Linked DNA regions of Caenorhabditis elegans. The protein of the gene in region 1 purifies or fractionates together with the protein of each later gene. This does not show direct contact. Each region holds a gene or a part of one and is shown in the gene's direction. Other genes may lie near its edges.

Evidence for each region. The genes of interacting proteins can lie anywhere in the genome.
Region 2: the proteins of unc-8 (region 1) and unc-1 purify together in Caenorhabditis elegans (affinity purification with western blotting, with the first as the bait; one study listed by BioGRID). This does not show direct contact.

Annotation. Positions count from the first base shown.
Region 1 is NC_003282.8:7,196,846-7,204,036, forward strand, and holds unc-8 (Degenerin unc-8), read left to right. Parts: upstream 1-1,586; coding exon 1,587-1,685; intron 1,686-1,890; exon of another isoform or gene 1,891-2,058; coding exon of another isoform or gene 2,059-2,116; exon of another isoform or gene 2,117-2,243; intron 2,244-2,686; coding exon 2,687-2,800; intron 2,801-3,315; coding exon 3,316-3,464; intron 3,465-3,514; coding exon 3,515-3,657; intron 3,658-3,701; coding exon 3,702-3,784; intron 3,785-3,840; coding exon 3,841-3,932; intron 3,933-3,978; coding exon 3,979-4,117; intron 4,118-4,201; coding exon 4,202-4,288; intron 4,289-4,330; coding exon 4,331-4,468; intron 4,469-4,512; coding exon 4,513-4,614; intron 4,615-4,661; coding exon 4,662-4,819; intron 4,820-4,863; coding exon 4,864-4,964; intron 4,965-5,027; coding exon 5,028-5,188; intron 5,189-5,233; coding exon 5,234-5,326; intron 5,327-5,370; coding exon 5,371-5,488; intron 5,489-5,860; coding exon 5,861-6,004; intron 6,005-6,050; coding exon 6,051-6,190; intron 6,191-6,326; coding exon 6,327-6,422; and 3 more. UniProt on the Caenorhabditis elegans protein: Sodium permeable non-voltage-sensitive ion channel. Involved in the activity-dependent removal of selected presynaptic proteins, such as synaptobrevin snb-1, and Ras-related rab-3, in the remodeling of GABAergic motor neurons.
Region 2 is NC_003284.9:1,056,987-1,064,212, reverse strand, and holds unc-1 (Band 7 domain-containing protein), read left to right. Parts: upstream 1-1,759; 5' UTR 1,760-1,769; coding exon 1,770-1,835; intron 1,836-3,527; coding exon 3,528-3,641; intron 3,642-4,794; coding exon 4,795-4,919; intron 4,920-4,977; coding exon 4,978-5,251; intron 5,252-5,927; coding exon 5,928-6,142; intron 6,143-6,306; coding exon 6,307-6,382; 3' UTR 6,383-6,726; downstream 6,727-7,226.

The DNA of each region.
Region 1 (7,191 bases):
ATGAAAGCCTAATAAAAAAAATAACAATTAGAAAAATTAATCCAAAAGGTTGAAATTGATACCGATTCAGGAAAATAACTAATCTCAGTGAATAAATTCCTTAATTTTTGAGCAAGATTCTCCTACACCCTCTTCTGCTTCTTCTTCAAAACTTTTCACCTTTATACCGGAAATAAGTCCAACATTTCTTCCAATACACAATGGAATGACCAACGACATTTTGAATGTTGCCTTATTCTTTTTCTGCCTACTTCTGCACCTTTCTCTCTTCTAAAAATTCTTATTGACATTTATTTTTCTATTTTAGATGAGCGCAAGGAGTAGTGGAAGTATGAGTACAGCATCACGAATGGTAAGATTATTTTGAAATAAATATTTTGAATTAGTTTTGAGAATTTTGTTTCTGGATTGAAACGGTAGTTATAAGTTTTGTGTCCCCATAGAAGTTTTAAATTTTAAAAATTAAGTTTTAATCCAGATACAGTAAATTCATTTGAAACAATATAGAAACTCTGTAGTTTTTTCTTTAAAAAGTTTACAGACAAAAGGATCTCCAGAAAGACTTGTATCGGCCACATCAGAGAGTAAAGTGAGTTAATACTAGTGTCAAGTGAATACTCAAATCAAATTTTATTACTGTTTTCCGAATTTCATAAAGCTTTATGGAATATCATAAACTTGATGAATCCCCATATCCCCATGGAAGGCTTTTCTTTTTTCATTTATACCAATGATTTCTCCAATTCTAAAACATCGCACTCATCTCTGTCGGCGACCCTGTTGTTATAAACTTATTGAGAATGAAGAAGAATTTGAATTTGATGAGGTGAGAATGAAAACTTGAACAGATTTTCATAAACTATATCTTTTGAAAATTGTTTCCAATTAAAACAAATACAAATTTTTAAAAGTATTACAAATGAAAAGAAGTGTACTGGAATTTCAGTACAAGTTCATAAATGAATAATGGGTTATTCAAATAGTGTAGGAAAGTTAAGAAGCGCATTTAAATACCCGTTTTGCCTTATTGAAGTAACTAAATATATGTATTAAAATTAATACAGTTGCGACTTCATAAAGTGTATTCAAATAAATTTTGCAAAATTATTAGAATAACCACATGAAGAACGTCAAAGTTCAATATCAGTTGCTTTACTCGAATCATTAATCATAAAATTTAATTTATCCTGTTCTAGTAACAGGTATAGGCACACTACAGGCAGACATTTTGTGCCTTCCTAGAAAAAGCCTGAATATTTGTTTGAGTTCTTTTTTTTTCAAAATTTATTCACCGTATACTAAAACCAAAAACGGAAAACAAATTTAAAAACTTCAAGTCAAAAGCTGATAAAATTGGGAGCATTTCCGGTAGTTTGAACTTCTAAAAACTACACTTTTCGATCTTTTATTTTCAAAGTCTCTTCTGAATTTCTGTAGTAAGAAGATGTCCAACAGAGACGTCAACAATATACATCTAATTGCGGATGGGCTCTCAGAGCAACAAAAAGATAGATGACTCTCTTCCAATCCCCTCGTCTACTTTTCGTCTCTTGTCAAAATTTTGAATCCGTTAGTCTGTGCACTTTATGATTCCAAAATATACATTTCCACGTCGCAAGGATGCAATTCGGCACAAAATTCGAAAAAATGTCACCTTTGCTGACGTGGAACTTGATATGTGTCAGGTAACTTCTATTTTCAGTCATACTATTGGTAAATGTAAATTCTTTTTCCAAACAATAACCAAAAATTATCCCAAAACCAATAACCACTTTTAATCCAAAAATAGGAACCTTGGTAATAAATTTCCCAATTGGGAGTTCCCCGAAGTGAAGCTAATCGCAGATTCGTGTAAAACCCCCGTCTTTTGACAAAAAACCAAGAAGGAAATCGCGGCAAGACCAAAAAAAGAATGAAGAGTAATACGACATGCAATGATCCCAAGAGAGGCCAATTGTCTTTCAGTTGATCCCTCAGGAAGAGGACTTTCCTTTTTCAAAATGTGTCCCAAGCTTTTGTTTCATGTCACACAATTTTTGAAGTTGACACTATTTTCAGTTCAAGGTGGTACACAATTTTATGTTTAAAAAATAAAGTTAAGTTCTGGTTAGGAACAGTATTAATTTTTGTTATAGAATTGAATTTAAAACATCTTTAAAATTATTTAAATTGTCGTTTATTTTGTTTTCAGAGCAACACATTTCTACATTTATTGAATCTATCTGTTTCAAAATTTTAATAATTCACACTATTATTTTAGAGTAATAGATAAAGTTTAAACCCTAAATTTATTTGACTATTATTTTTTATAGCTCCCGCCTTTTTTTCGTTTAATACATACAATTTTATTAAAATGAACCCTGTTTGATGAATTCTTCTCTACTCGGTCCTTTATGAAATTAGCATATCCTCCTGATCCACCCAAAAGAATGTCAACTGAATAATAGGAGAAAAAGATAAAAGAGAGTAGATTTGAACATTTGAAACCAAGATTCCCATTTAGATAAGCTTATATTGTGGGGACTCCGGGGCCACACGGCGTCCTAATACAAGCTTTTCAAGAGCTTGCTCTCATTTTTTCTCAACAATATTGTTTAGTATCTTCAAAAGTTTTGCATAAGCATGCTACAGTTGAAGACATTCCAGCTTTTCACTATGAAATATTTCCTTCATATTTTTATTGCAGAGACTCGTCCATGAACCAGAATCAATGGAGAGCAGGTCAAGTCCATATATTAGACCATCTCCATACGCTGGAGGAGTTCATCCACACTTTGAAGAGGAAGATGACAGGTCAAAAGTGAGTTTTATTCAAAGCTACGTTTTCAAACTTTTGTTTCATTTTTTCGTTCTTACCGAGATTTTTTTGATTCAAAATTGCGGGTTGTCATCGAAATAAGAAAGGAAAATACAACAGATATTAAGTTTTGCTTCGCCTATTCTTTAAAAAAAATTATCGTTGTTATTTTGAGCATTAGGAAGATGTTATGAATCAAAAGATGTTACATTTTTGAGCATTATCAGAATGTCGTCCATTTCTCATTTTACTAGTGGAACACGACGCAATTCGTTCTTAAAAGTATAACTTTACACATATTTTTCTATTAAATTATTTTTGTCATGTTTCTAATATACGAAGTTGCCAAGGTTTTCAGTGGTTTATTTAGTAAATGGGGCCCTAATAATTTCGAATCTTCGGTGATCACAATAAAATTGTTTTCAAAAATATAGGATCAATGAAAATTATTTTACTATTGTATACTCTTTGCTTGAATTTGAATGATGTTTCCAAAACATTTCAACTCATTTTTTCAGCTTCATGCATCAGCTCTCTACTCGGAACGCCGAACGTCATCCCGGAAATCGTTAAGATCACAAAAAATAGACTATCACACAACAACAATAAAATCCCTTTGGTTTGATTTTTGTGCCAGAACTTCTTCCCATGGAATACCATATGTTGCGTACGGTTTTTTTTTCATTTTGTATTTATCTGAAAATGCTTATTTTGCAGAACATCTTCATTTTTTGGCCGATATGTATGGGCGGCACTCTTCATGTGCATGTTAATGGCATTCTTATTACAAACCTATTGGACAATGTCAGAATATTTGCAGTATAGGACAATTATTGAAATGCAGTTGCAGTTTGAAGCTGGTAAATTAATCAACATTTATTTATCTAAAATAATTTATTTTCAGCTGCATTTCCCGCTGCAACAGTTTGCAATTTGAATGCTTTCAAATATAGCGAGCTCACGCAGTATGAAGAAATTAAAGAGGGTGTAAGTTTTCATATAAAATTATTGGAATTTCTGAAAATCTGAATTTGGTGTTTCAGTTTGACTATTGGGAACGGGTGATAAATGCTCGAATGATGAGTGACAGTATGAAGCCAGGAGGTGATATTCTAGAAGCAATCAGTGTCAGGAAGTAAGTGATAAGATGTACACAACGTAAACTTGTAAAATATTTCCAGAAAGCGATCAAAAAGTCGAGATCAATTACTTTTTCCAATTGATGACGAAGACTTAGAGGGTGCAGTGTATCAGCCAGTCTTTGTGAGATGCACCTGTATGAATATGGAACAATGTGTACCAAATAGGAATCCTTTAGAGGTTGGAATATTTATTTGAAAACAGCTTGCAAATCAAGTTGAAATTTGCTAGATGACTTTTATTTAAAAATGTATAATTTTTCAGGTTAACGCCTCAATTTGTATGTGCTTTGAAGACGTGACACGTGGCTTAATCTGGCCATGCTACCCAACTTCCGTATGGACTGTAAAAGTATGATAACTCTCCGTTTATCATTTCTAATTTTAGTTTTAGAAATGTTCTGGTTGTTCAATTTCCAATACTTGTCCTGACCCGGATGGTCCTAATGCTTCAAAGCAAATCGCAAAACATAACAGTCCACTTCCATGTCTTTGCCAATCAATTTCTCATCATTGTATGGTACATCCAAAGGTTAGTTTGAAACTTTTTTCCGAATTAAATTGACAAAATCTTAGGACGAAATCCGATGGTGGAACCCAAACAATTATACAGTTTATTCTGTAACTGAACCACCGACCACAGAAATAACTGAAACCGAAGAAGCTTTTGGATTGAGCGTAAGACATTTCTCAATGGAATATTCTATTCATAGGATAATTTTCAGGACCTCAAAGATGCGGGAGCCATCACAACTCAAACAAAAGAAAATTTAATTTTCTTAGTGGCTGCTTTACCCCGTGAAACAAGAAGGAACCTGTCATACACCCTCAATGAGTTTGTTCTTCGATGTTCGTTTAATTCGAAGGATTGTAGTATGGAGCGGTAAGTGTTTTCTTTTAAATGTCATGTAAATCTTGAAATTGAAGTGACTTTAAACTTCACGTTGATCCTGAATACGGCAATTGCTACACATTTAACTTCAATGATTCGGTGGAGTTGAAAAACAGTAGAGCTGGTCCCATGTATGGTAAGTTTTTCAAAAGCTTGTGTTTTCAATGCATTAGATAACCAAACAATTTATTGTTTAAAGGTCTCCGTCTATTATTAAACGTGCATCAAAGCGATTACATGCCAACAACAGAAGCAGCAGGTGTTCGATTAGTTGTCCATGAACAAGATCAAGAACCGTTCCCTGATACATTTGGATACAGTGCTCCAACTGGATTCATTTCTTCATTTGGTCTTAAAACGGTATTTAAATACTCTTGAGAATCTGTTTGCAGAGTTCGATTTCAGAAAGAACTACATCGTCTCAGTGCTCCATGGGGGAATTGCAGTGACACATTCCGACCGGTTCCATACATTTACAACGAACACTATTCTCCTGAAGTATGTAACATTTCCCATTCTTAATCAAACATTTATATTTTTAGGGTTGCCATCGAAATTGTTTCCAATTGAAAGTACTTGAAATATGTGGATGTGGAGATCCAAGATTCCCTCTACCATCTGAAGAGCATAGACATTGTAATGCGAAGTCAAAAATTGATCGTTAGTTTTTTTCATTAAAACATTAAGAAAATTAGAAATAATTTCGGCGAAACAGAAAAGTTATAAATAGCATTTTATTAACTAAAAAATCTACTGATTCTACAGTGAGCATCTCTCCTCCATATTTTTTCGCTTTCTTACCAGTTACCCAGAAGACGCCTTAAAAAGGAGAAAATCACAGAAACATAACCCAAGAGGCACCCAGCCAAGCACCAACTGAGCGGAGTGCCAAATGGGAACACATAAGTTGCACAAGTTTTGGAACTTTTCCTCATTATCGAATTTACCACAATGAAGAAAAAGTCAAATATTGAATCCTTGAATACTTCAATTTTGTAGAAACATGTTTTTTTCAAAAAATGTATTTTTCAGGTCAATGTTTATCAAACCTAACAAGTGACTCTGGAGGTTACCACCATCTACACGAACAATGTGAATGTCGTCAGCCATGTCATGAAAAAGTATTTGAGACTGCTTACTCTGCATCTGCATGGCCCAGTCAAAATTTCAAAATTGGTTGGTTTTTCTATGACTCATATCTTTCTCTACCACATAATTTCAGGTACCGACTGCCCCGCCGTATCAGATATTTTCAACGACACTGAAGCTTGTACCGAATATTATCGTCAAAACACTGCTTACATTGAAATTTACTACGAACAATTGAATTTCGAATCGCTGAAAGAAACCGCCGGTTACACGGTCAGTACTAGTACTTTTAAAATTCATGTTTTATGAAACTTTCGGAGAAAAAACGAAATAATCGGATTATTTATATCAATAGTTCAAACTTCATAGAATTATCTATTCAAAGATCAGCTACATTTGAATATTTCAGCTCGTCAATCTTTTCTCAGATTTTGGAGGTAATATTGGATTATGGATTGGATTTTCAGTCATTACGTTTGCTGAATTTGCAGAACTTTTCTGCGAGGTTGGAAGAAACTTATTAGATAGTTTGACGCAAAAGAATATTGAATTACAGATCTGCAAACTAATGTATTTCAAAGGAATAGTCTATGTACAGAAAAAGATGCAAGGAAAAGAATACACATCATCTTCATTAATGCACATTGATTTTCTTCAACGATCGCCTAAAAAAAGCCAACCAGGAGAAGATGAAGTTTCAACAAATGAATCAACAAAGGAGTTAATGAGCAAATAGTTACAATAAAAATTCCACTAAATTTCTATCAGTTTTTGATGTCGGGTAAATTATATTTTAGACTTTTGTAAATTGTTGTCTTTCTTTTTTGAGCATTTTTTATGACTGACATTTGAATAGCAGAAACTTTTTTGTATAGGATGAATAAATATTTAAAAGATATTAATGTCTTTAATTATGCTAAATCATAAAAAAAAGAGGATATCATGCAAAAAAGGTTGAAACATTTGCTCGGAACAAATTAGATTCTTTTAATTTGAAAAATTATTTCATAACAGTCTGTTTAAACTTTATAAATTCTTGATAATTCGACAGGGGGCGAAAATTTAGAAATCTTTAGAAAAATATTATGGATTTTAGAAGAAGCGGGCTGAAAGAATTCGGAGATGTTTAAAAAATTTGAAGAATTTTGTTCCGGAATAATAAATATTTTTAAACGATTGTTTTGAAAAAAACGTGAACTGAAATTATCTTAAAGAATTATTTACTATCGAAAAAATCAATTCGTGGCAACGAATTTTTTAAACATAAAAAATTT
Region 2 (7,226 bases), on another chromosome or scaffold:
CGAAGGAGCAGAGAGAGGGAGAGATGTGCTCTCCCTACATCGATTGTGCTCGAGACGACGTGTGCTCCCCGCGGCTTGGGGAGTGGCTGGCATGTGGGCACGCTTTTCTTTTGGGGGCCTCCATCTTGCTTTTATTACTACGAGCTTTGTCTGCAAAACGAGAAACCACAACAATTTGGTTTTCTCACGCGAGTGGAGCCTTTTTCGATTCTTCTTTCTATCATTTTTTATTTCTTCTCCCACCCCTTTCCTCTTTTTTTTTCTCTTTCCTATTCATTTTCGATTCAATAGACTCTTAGGGTCCCTTTGCTCAAGCGCAACCGCAACATTGATGATCTTTCACTCGTTTTCCGCTCTTTTTTGCCACAGCTCCCCATTTCTTTCAAGTTTCTGTGAAATAGTTACATATCCTTTCAGTTTACATCTTGATCAACATGGATCAGCAATGTTTCCTAATTAAAAAAAAAATGTTTCAGTTTGCTTATTTTTTAAACTCAAAAATATAATTCTTGATATTTTGTGTCGCTGTTCAACGATTTAACTTTGCTTAAAGTAATATCAAAAATGAGATAATCTTCATCGTCATAAATTTTTTGAAAAACCTTTGTCAGAGATTGAAAATGGGTCAGTGCCAATATCATTTTGGTCAGTGCCTGTATCATTTTTGTCATTGCCATTATCATTTGTTCAGCGCATTTATCATCTTGGTCAGTGAAAATTACCTAATTAAATTTATTGTTTTCCAAAATAGTAATGCATTCAAATTGAAAATAAAGTGGTGATATTTTCTTTAGTATTTTCAATTTCAAGAAGTATGTATGCACATGGAGACCCACCTGCCAAATAACGAGAAGTTGCTTGCAAATTTGATTTTTTTTTGGATTTTTAGCTAGGAATTCATATGATTATGATTGCTGTAATTTTTTCTTTGCGTTTTCTGTTGGTGATATTGTTTTTCAGTGTTTCCAAGTTCCATACTCCTTTTTTCATATAAAAATGTTTCAAAAACATAACCTAACAATTTAGACTCTAGTTTTTCAATGCAGATTTGATTTAATTTCAGTACTTTCAAACGAACATTATCGTGATTTATGTTTTTCGTTTCAAAATTTTCGTTCTTATTTCATTCGCCGCCAAAATCAGTAAAAGTATCTTTAGTCGCTTAAAAAAGTAAAAGTAAAAACAGATTCATCCACTTTAGCCGTCAGCTTGAAAGAAAAAAAAATGCTATCCTCTTTCCTTCGTCAACTCTTCGTCCGTATTTTCTTCGCCTCTATTTTCTATTCTGCCTCTCTCAGCTTTTTCGCTCCGAAGCTCCCTCGCCAAAGTGGGTGGAGCATAGGAACTGCAGAGGGGTCCCCCTTCTTTCTCCCCTATTGAATTACTCTGAGCTGCGAAGCGTAGCTCATGGTTGCCCAAAGTCAATTCTTTCTCTCTAGTCAAATGGAAGTTTTTTTTCTTTTTTTTTCTTTCATCTTGTTCGTCTTTTGAAAAATGTATAACTGAAACATAATATAAAAATTAATTAAAATTCGAAAAAACGTCCTTCCCAATCATTTTTCAGGCACTGACAATATTTGAATTTGCACTGACAATATTTGAAGTTGCACTGACAATATTTGAATTTGCACTGACAATATTTGAATTTGCACTGACAAAATTAGTTTTTGCACTGACCCATCAAGAAACAGTTTATTTCTTATATTTTCCGTTCTTTTTTCTAAACTATTTTTTTTTAATTTTAACCGTCCTAAAAGTTTTCCAGGTAAATGTCAAACAAGGAAAGAACAGAGCCTCAGTGGGTAACGCCGTCGTCAAATCAGGTATCACAGCAAGTGCGTGTTTCACTCACATTTTTCAAACTCCCCCCTCACACGTCTAGTCACAAAACCCCTCCCTATCTGATCTGAGCATAATCCAAAAAAAATACTGTTGGCATTAACCATCACTCACATCTATTCTATCCACGCTTTTTGAGCATGCTTCTGCTGTTGAGCAGAGTAACCGTTCTGTAACTCACAATGTTGTCGCTTTGTTATTGTCTTCTTTCACACGTGAATATTAACGATTTGGGAATTGGAAAAAAAGGAAAAGGAAGAGAAAGGACTCGCGACACCAACAACAAAGAATTATTCTGAATAAGGGCTGTGACGAGCAGGAAGTAGTGTAATTTTTAATTGGACGGTTTTAAGAAAAGTGTTATTTTATTCATAAGTTCTTTTTAGTTTGTTCGATAGTTGAATTTCATGAATTTTGCACTTTATAGATAATAGTGCATATCAGGGCTGTTTTTTGTTTAAAAAACAAGTACTCGTGTATTAAAGATGGAATACAGTCAGTGGGAAATTGCTTTAAATACACTTAAAATGGCCATTATAATATTAAAAAACTTCAGACATTTCTTTAGATTTAAAAATTTTTAAAATCAACTTTTTAGTAAATTTCCAGAAGAAAAGGACTTTTTGTGAAATTGAAGAGTTTCTGCGAGTTAAAACAAAATAATTGAACTGTAATTAGAATACACAACTTACATTAAACAAAAATCATTTTTCGGGCGATTTTCAAAATTATGATCGGTGTTTGAGTTTTTACCATTTTTTGACTGCACATAAAAAACCAAACAAATTTCTTCCAATTTTATCATTTACTGTTTAAAAAAATTTTCCCACTGACTAAACTCCACCATTAAACATGATGTGATTGTTTTTCTTTAAACTATGAAATCGATGTTTCTAAAACGTTACAGTACACAAATACCAAAAAGTTGTGCCACTATAGTTTTTTAACTGAAATTTTTTTTAACTTTGAGTTTTATGTTTTCAATACACTTCAGTATTTTCCAGAAAAAAACTTACTCAAGCTTAATTTGTCGATTTTAAAATTTTCCAAAAAAATGTAAAACGATTCTCATTAAGTCGACCAAATCAAAAATGGAATTGGATTAACAGATTGAAAAAGTATATTTCCTTATTAAAAGCTTAGTTATTTTTTGTTAATTTTTGAATTAATGATACAAAATTTGGCTTTTTTAAGAAATATTTTCACATTCCCAAAATAAAAATTTTAAATTGAGAAACTTCAATTTTCAAATTTTCATATTTATTAGTTGTTTTTTTTTCTGTTATGGGTGGGATTCTAATTTTGCTTCTCATTCATTTTCCTTGGCGTGCAATTTTTATTTAATTAGCCATATGTACTTTTATACACGCAACAACAAGCACTTTATCAAAGGGCACGTCAAAAGTTCTCGCAAATTCTCAATTTACTTCGCTTTACGCTCAGAATAATTATTTTTCCCTACGGAGAAAAAGAGTCGCCCTGGGAAAGAAAGGGTAAGTGGGGGAGGGGGGTACATTTTAAATGTGCTCTTTTCTCTCTATCTCAGGCCAAGTTGATTTATGTCTCGAGTCCCTTTTCCTTTTCTTGAATACCCGAAGATTCCAATACTTTTTGCATTCCATCAAAATTTGGAGTAAAATATGGAATCGATATGGAAAAATCTTGAATATTGATAATTAACTTTGCAGGATGTGCCACCTGATTACGAGACGATTGGCACAATCTTCGGTTATGCGTTACAAGCTCTTTCATGGATACTTATTATTGTCACGTTTCCATTTTCCATGTGTGTATGCTTAAAGGTTTGTTTTTTCTTCCAATTATCTAATGAAAAAGTTTTTAATTTTTCGGGGAAAAATTTAAAAGAAGTTGAGTGTTTTTAAAGGTGGATTTGGTGGGGGAAACGAAACCCATAAACGCCGTTATTTAAAAAATGGTCAATTTAAAAATAGTCAGCTTTTTAATTTTTTCCCCCAAAATGGTATTGATTTCATTTAACAATTTGACATCAACATTAATAAAACATTAAGATCACGTAAAATTGTGCTAAAAACGAAAATTTTCACGATTTTTCTAAACTTCACATACTCGAAAAAAAAACTATGATAATTAATTGGCAAAACAACTTTGTATAAAAAGTTAGTTGAAAATCAAACACAACTTTAAAAACGTTTCTTGTTTACTAAATTCAATCAAAAATAATTTTCTGTGTAAAAAACGTTTGTTTGAAGTTTCAAAGCGTAGATTGTAACTTTTTCGATTTTTACTGATTTAACAATATTCAATTTGATGGAAGAGTATGATGATCTGATTATTTTGTTTTCTTAAAAATTAAGATTAACAAATATAATTGTTTAAAAATTTTTCTGTCTCACAGTTTTCAATTTTGTTCAATTTTCCCAACAAAAAAAAATCAAATGGCTAATTAAACAGCGCCCACTTTTTTGGGTTCTTAGATTTTTGGGTTTTTGGTTGTTATTTTCTGATCTAATGTAACGTAATGTAATAATGTAATGTAATATAATATAACGAAATAACTGAAGAAAAAAAATAGAGCCATTAACTAAATACTCCAAAAATGTGGGCATTGCCTCGTTCAGAGCAAAATACCAATTAACAATAAAACTGACCAATATTCTAATTGCCCTGACCAAAACTTTAATTGCACTGACCACAAATCTAACTGGATTAACTGAAAGTTTGAATGCACTGGTCAAAAATATTTTTTGCGCAATGCAATATTCAAACTGCACTGATTTTCTGACCTGGGCTCACTTTTAAGTCAAACAGCGACATTAATCAATTTTCTTTAAGAAGTAGAAAACTTGGGGTTCAAAGTTATTTATTGATTGTTTTTATTCAAAAATCTATCAAATTTTCAAAACACAATCGATACCTTTTTTTGGAATATATTAACTCCAAAAGTTCCTAAAATGATACATTAATGATTTCCAGGTTATCAAAGAATACGAGCGAGTTGTAATCTTCCGTATCGGTCGTTTGGTGTTTGGAGGAGCTCGTGGTCCTGGAATGATCTTCATCATTCCCTGTATTGATACTTATCGAAAAATTGATCTTCGGTATGATTTGACTTAATGTCTCGAAGAAACGTTTATGATTATTATTATTCTCATTTAGTGTTGTCTCGTACGCAGTTCCACCGCAGGAAATCCTGTCAAAAGACTCTGTGACTGTATCCGTCGACGCCGTTGTCTACTTCCGTACCTCCGACCCGATTGCTTCCGTCAACAATGTTGACGATGCCATTTACTCCACCAAACTGCTAGCGCAAACTACGCTGAGAAACGCTTTGGGTATGAAAACTTTGACTGAAATGCTCACAGAACGTGAAGCCATTGCTCAACTTTGCGAGACCATTCTTGATGAAGGAACTGAACATTGGGGAGTTAAGGTGAGATTTTTTTTCCCAAAAGTATAATAAACTGATCACTCAATGCTCATATTTGGGGCTCCTTCGCCAAATAATACTAAAACTGAGAAGCTCAATAAAAACAATTTCGTAACCCAAACAAACACACCGATTAGCCTCCAGAGAGTTAGTAGTTATTTTGGGGATAAACAAGTATGTTTTGTTGGAGAAATACCCAGAAATCTCGACGAACGGGTAAATATGATGGGCAGTAGTTTTAAGGGGTGGAAGTTTGACAAAAAAAAAAGTTTTTGATAAAGTTTCTGGTTTCTAAAATAATTACAAGAATGAAATGTTTTGCTTTAAGTTTTAATTGCACTGACCAAAACTTCAATTCTACTGTCTAAAGTTCTATTTGCACTGACCAACACTCTTATTGCACTGACCATTATTCTAATTACACTGACCACAACTTCAATTGCACTGACAAAATTTTGAATGCACTGTTAAATTGAAAAATTTGCGTAAAACAATATTTTAACTGAACGGACTTTCTGCGATTTGCCAAACTAATTCACACTCAAAAACTTCTTCTTTCTTGAGAAAACATTTATTTTTTGTCGCAAAAAAATATAGAAAATCTATCATGTTACTTTTTTTTTCAAATCTAGTCAATTTCATGTCTGACAATTCAAAGCCATCAATCATTCCATTACAGGTAGAACGTGTGGAAGTGAAGGACATCCGTCTCCCCCAACAACTCACACGTGCCATGGCCGCCGAAGCCGAGGCCGCGCGTGAAGCTCGAGCCAAAGTTGTCGCCGCCGAGGGAGAGCAGAAGGCGTCACGGGCTCTCAAAGAAGCGGCCGATGTCATTCAAGCGAACCCAGTTGCTCTTCAGCTTCGTCACTTGCAAGCACTCAACAGCATTGCGTAAGTTGCCACACTTCTCGAATAAATTTAATTTCGGTGAGAAGAGAGATGCGTGCTCTTTTGGATTGAATTTCGAATTAGTCACCAACTTTGAATTGTACCAATTTTTGAAACTATGGAAAATCGTAGAGGAACCGAGCTATCGCTAATCCAATTTTTTTCAGAGCTGAGCACAATTCTACAATTGTTTTCCCCGTACCTGTGGAAATGTTTGGAGCATTTATGAAAAAAGACCAATAATCATATTTTCCTTTTTTTCTCTATAAATGCTGCACCTTTTGAAATTTGGATCCCAGATAGTGCATTATTAATAGATCAATCATTTGTATTAATTCAAAGTCTATATACATACAATTATCTTTCAAATAGCCTTTATCCTACCAATACTTTCCTAAACGTTCTCGATTTGCACAAAAAAAAACCAGCCAAACAAAACACAAAACTCTCTAATTTCCCCCAAATTCCGATTTGCAACTGTCATTCAACCCGATCATGTATTTTCTGAACTTTTTTTCAAAATTTACGAAACTCTAGTTCTTCTTATTTTTCATTTATATATTCATGAATAAATCAGTTATTTATTATGTGAAAGTATCAGAAAAAAATTAAATTTTCTGTGAAATGTTCAGGAAAATATATCATGGAATTTTTGAATACCACAAATGAGCGGTATCACAAAACTAACAAAAAAAAATAAATATAAAAATAAAAAAACCGTTTTTTTTTCTAGAACTGTATACTTCAAAGGTTTTTGAGTTTTTGAAGTGTTTTTCTGGCAACAATCTAAAAACTTTTTCATCCTTGGTTAAGAAACTTAAAGTATTAGTGCAAAGTATAGAAAATTACAAAAACATTTTCCGGAATGGCATTAAAATTTTGGCAGGAATTCAAACTTCTTTAAAAAATTGTGGTCATTAATTCAAAAATTTCAAAAAAAAAGTATGGGTAAGAATTCAAATTTTTCCGAGAAGTTAGGACAGGAATTTTTTTCTAAAAGTGATTTTTATTAATTTGAGATTGCCTGAAAAATATTGATCTTGACATTTATAACATTGGAAAATTGGGATTTCTAATTATCAAAAGC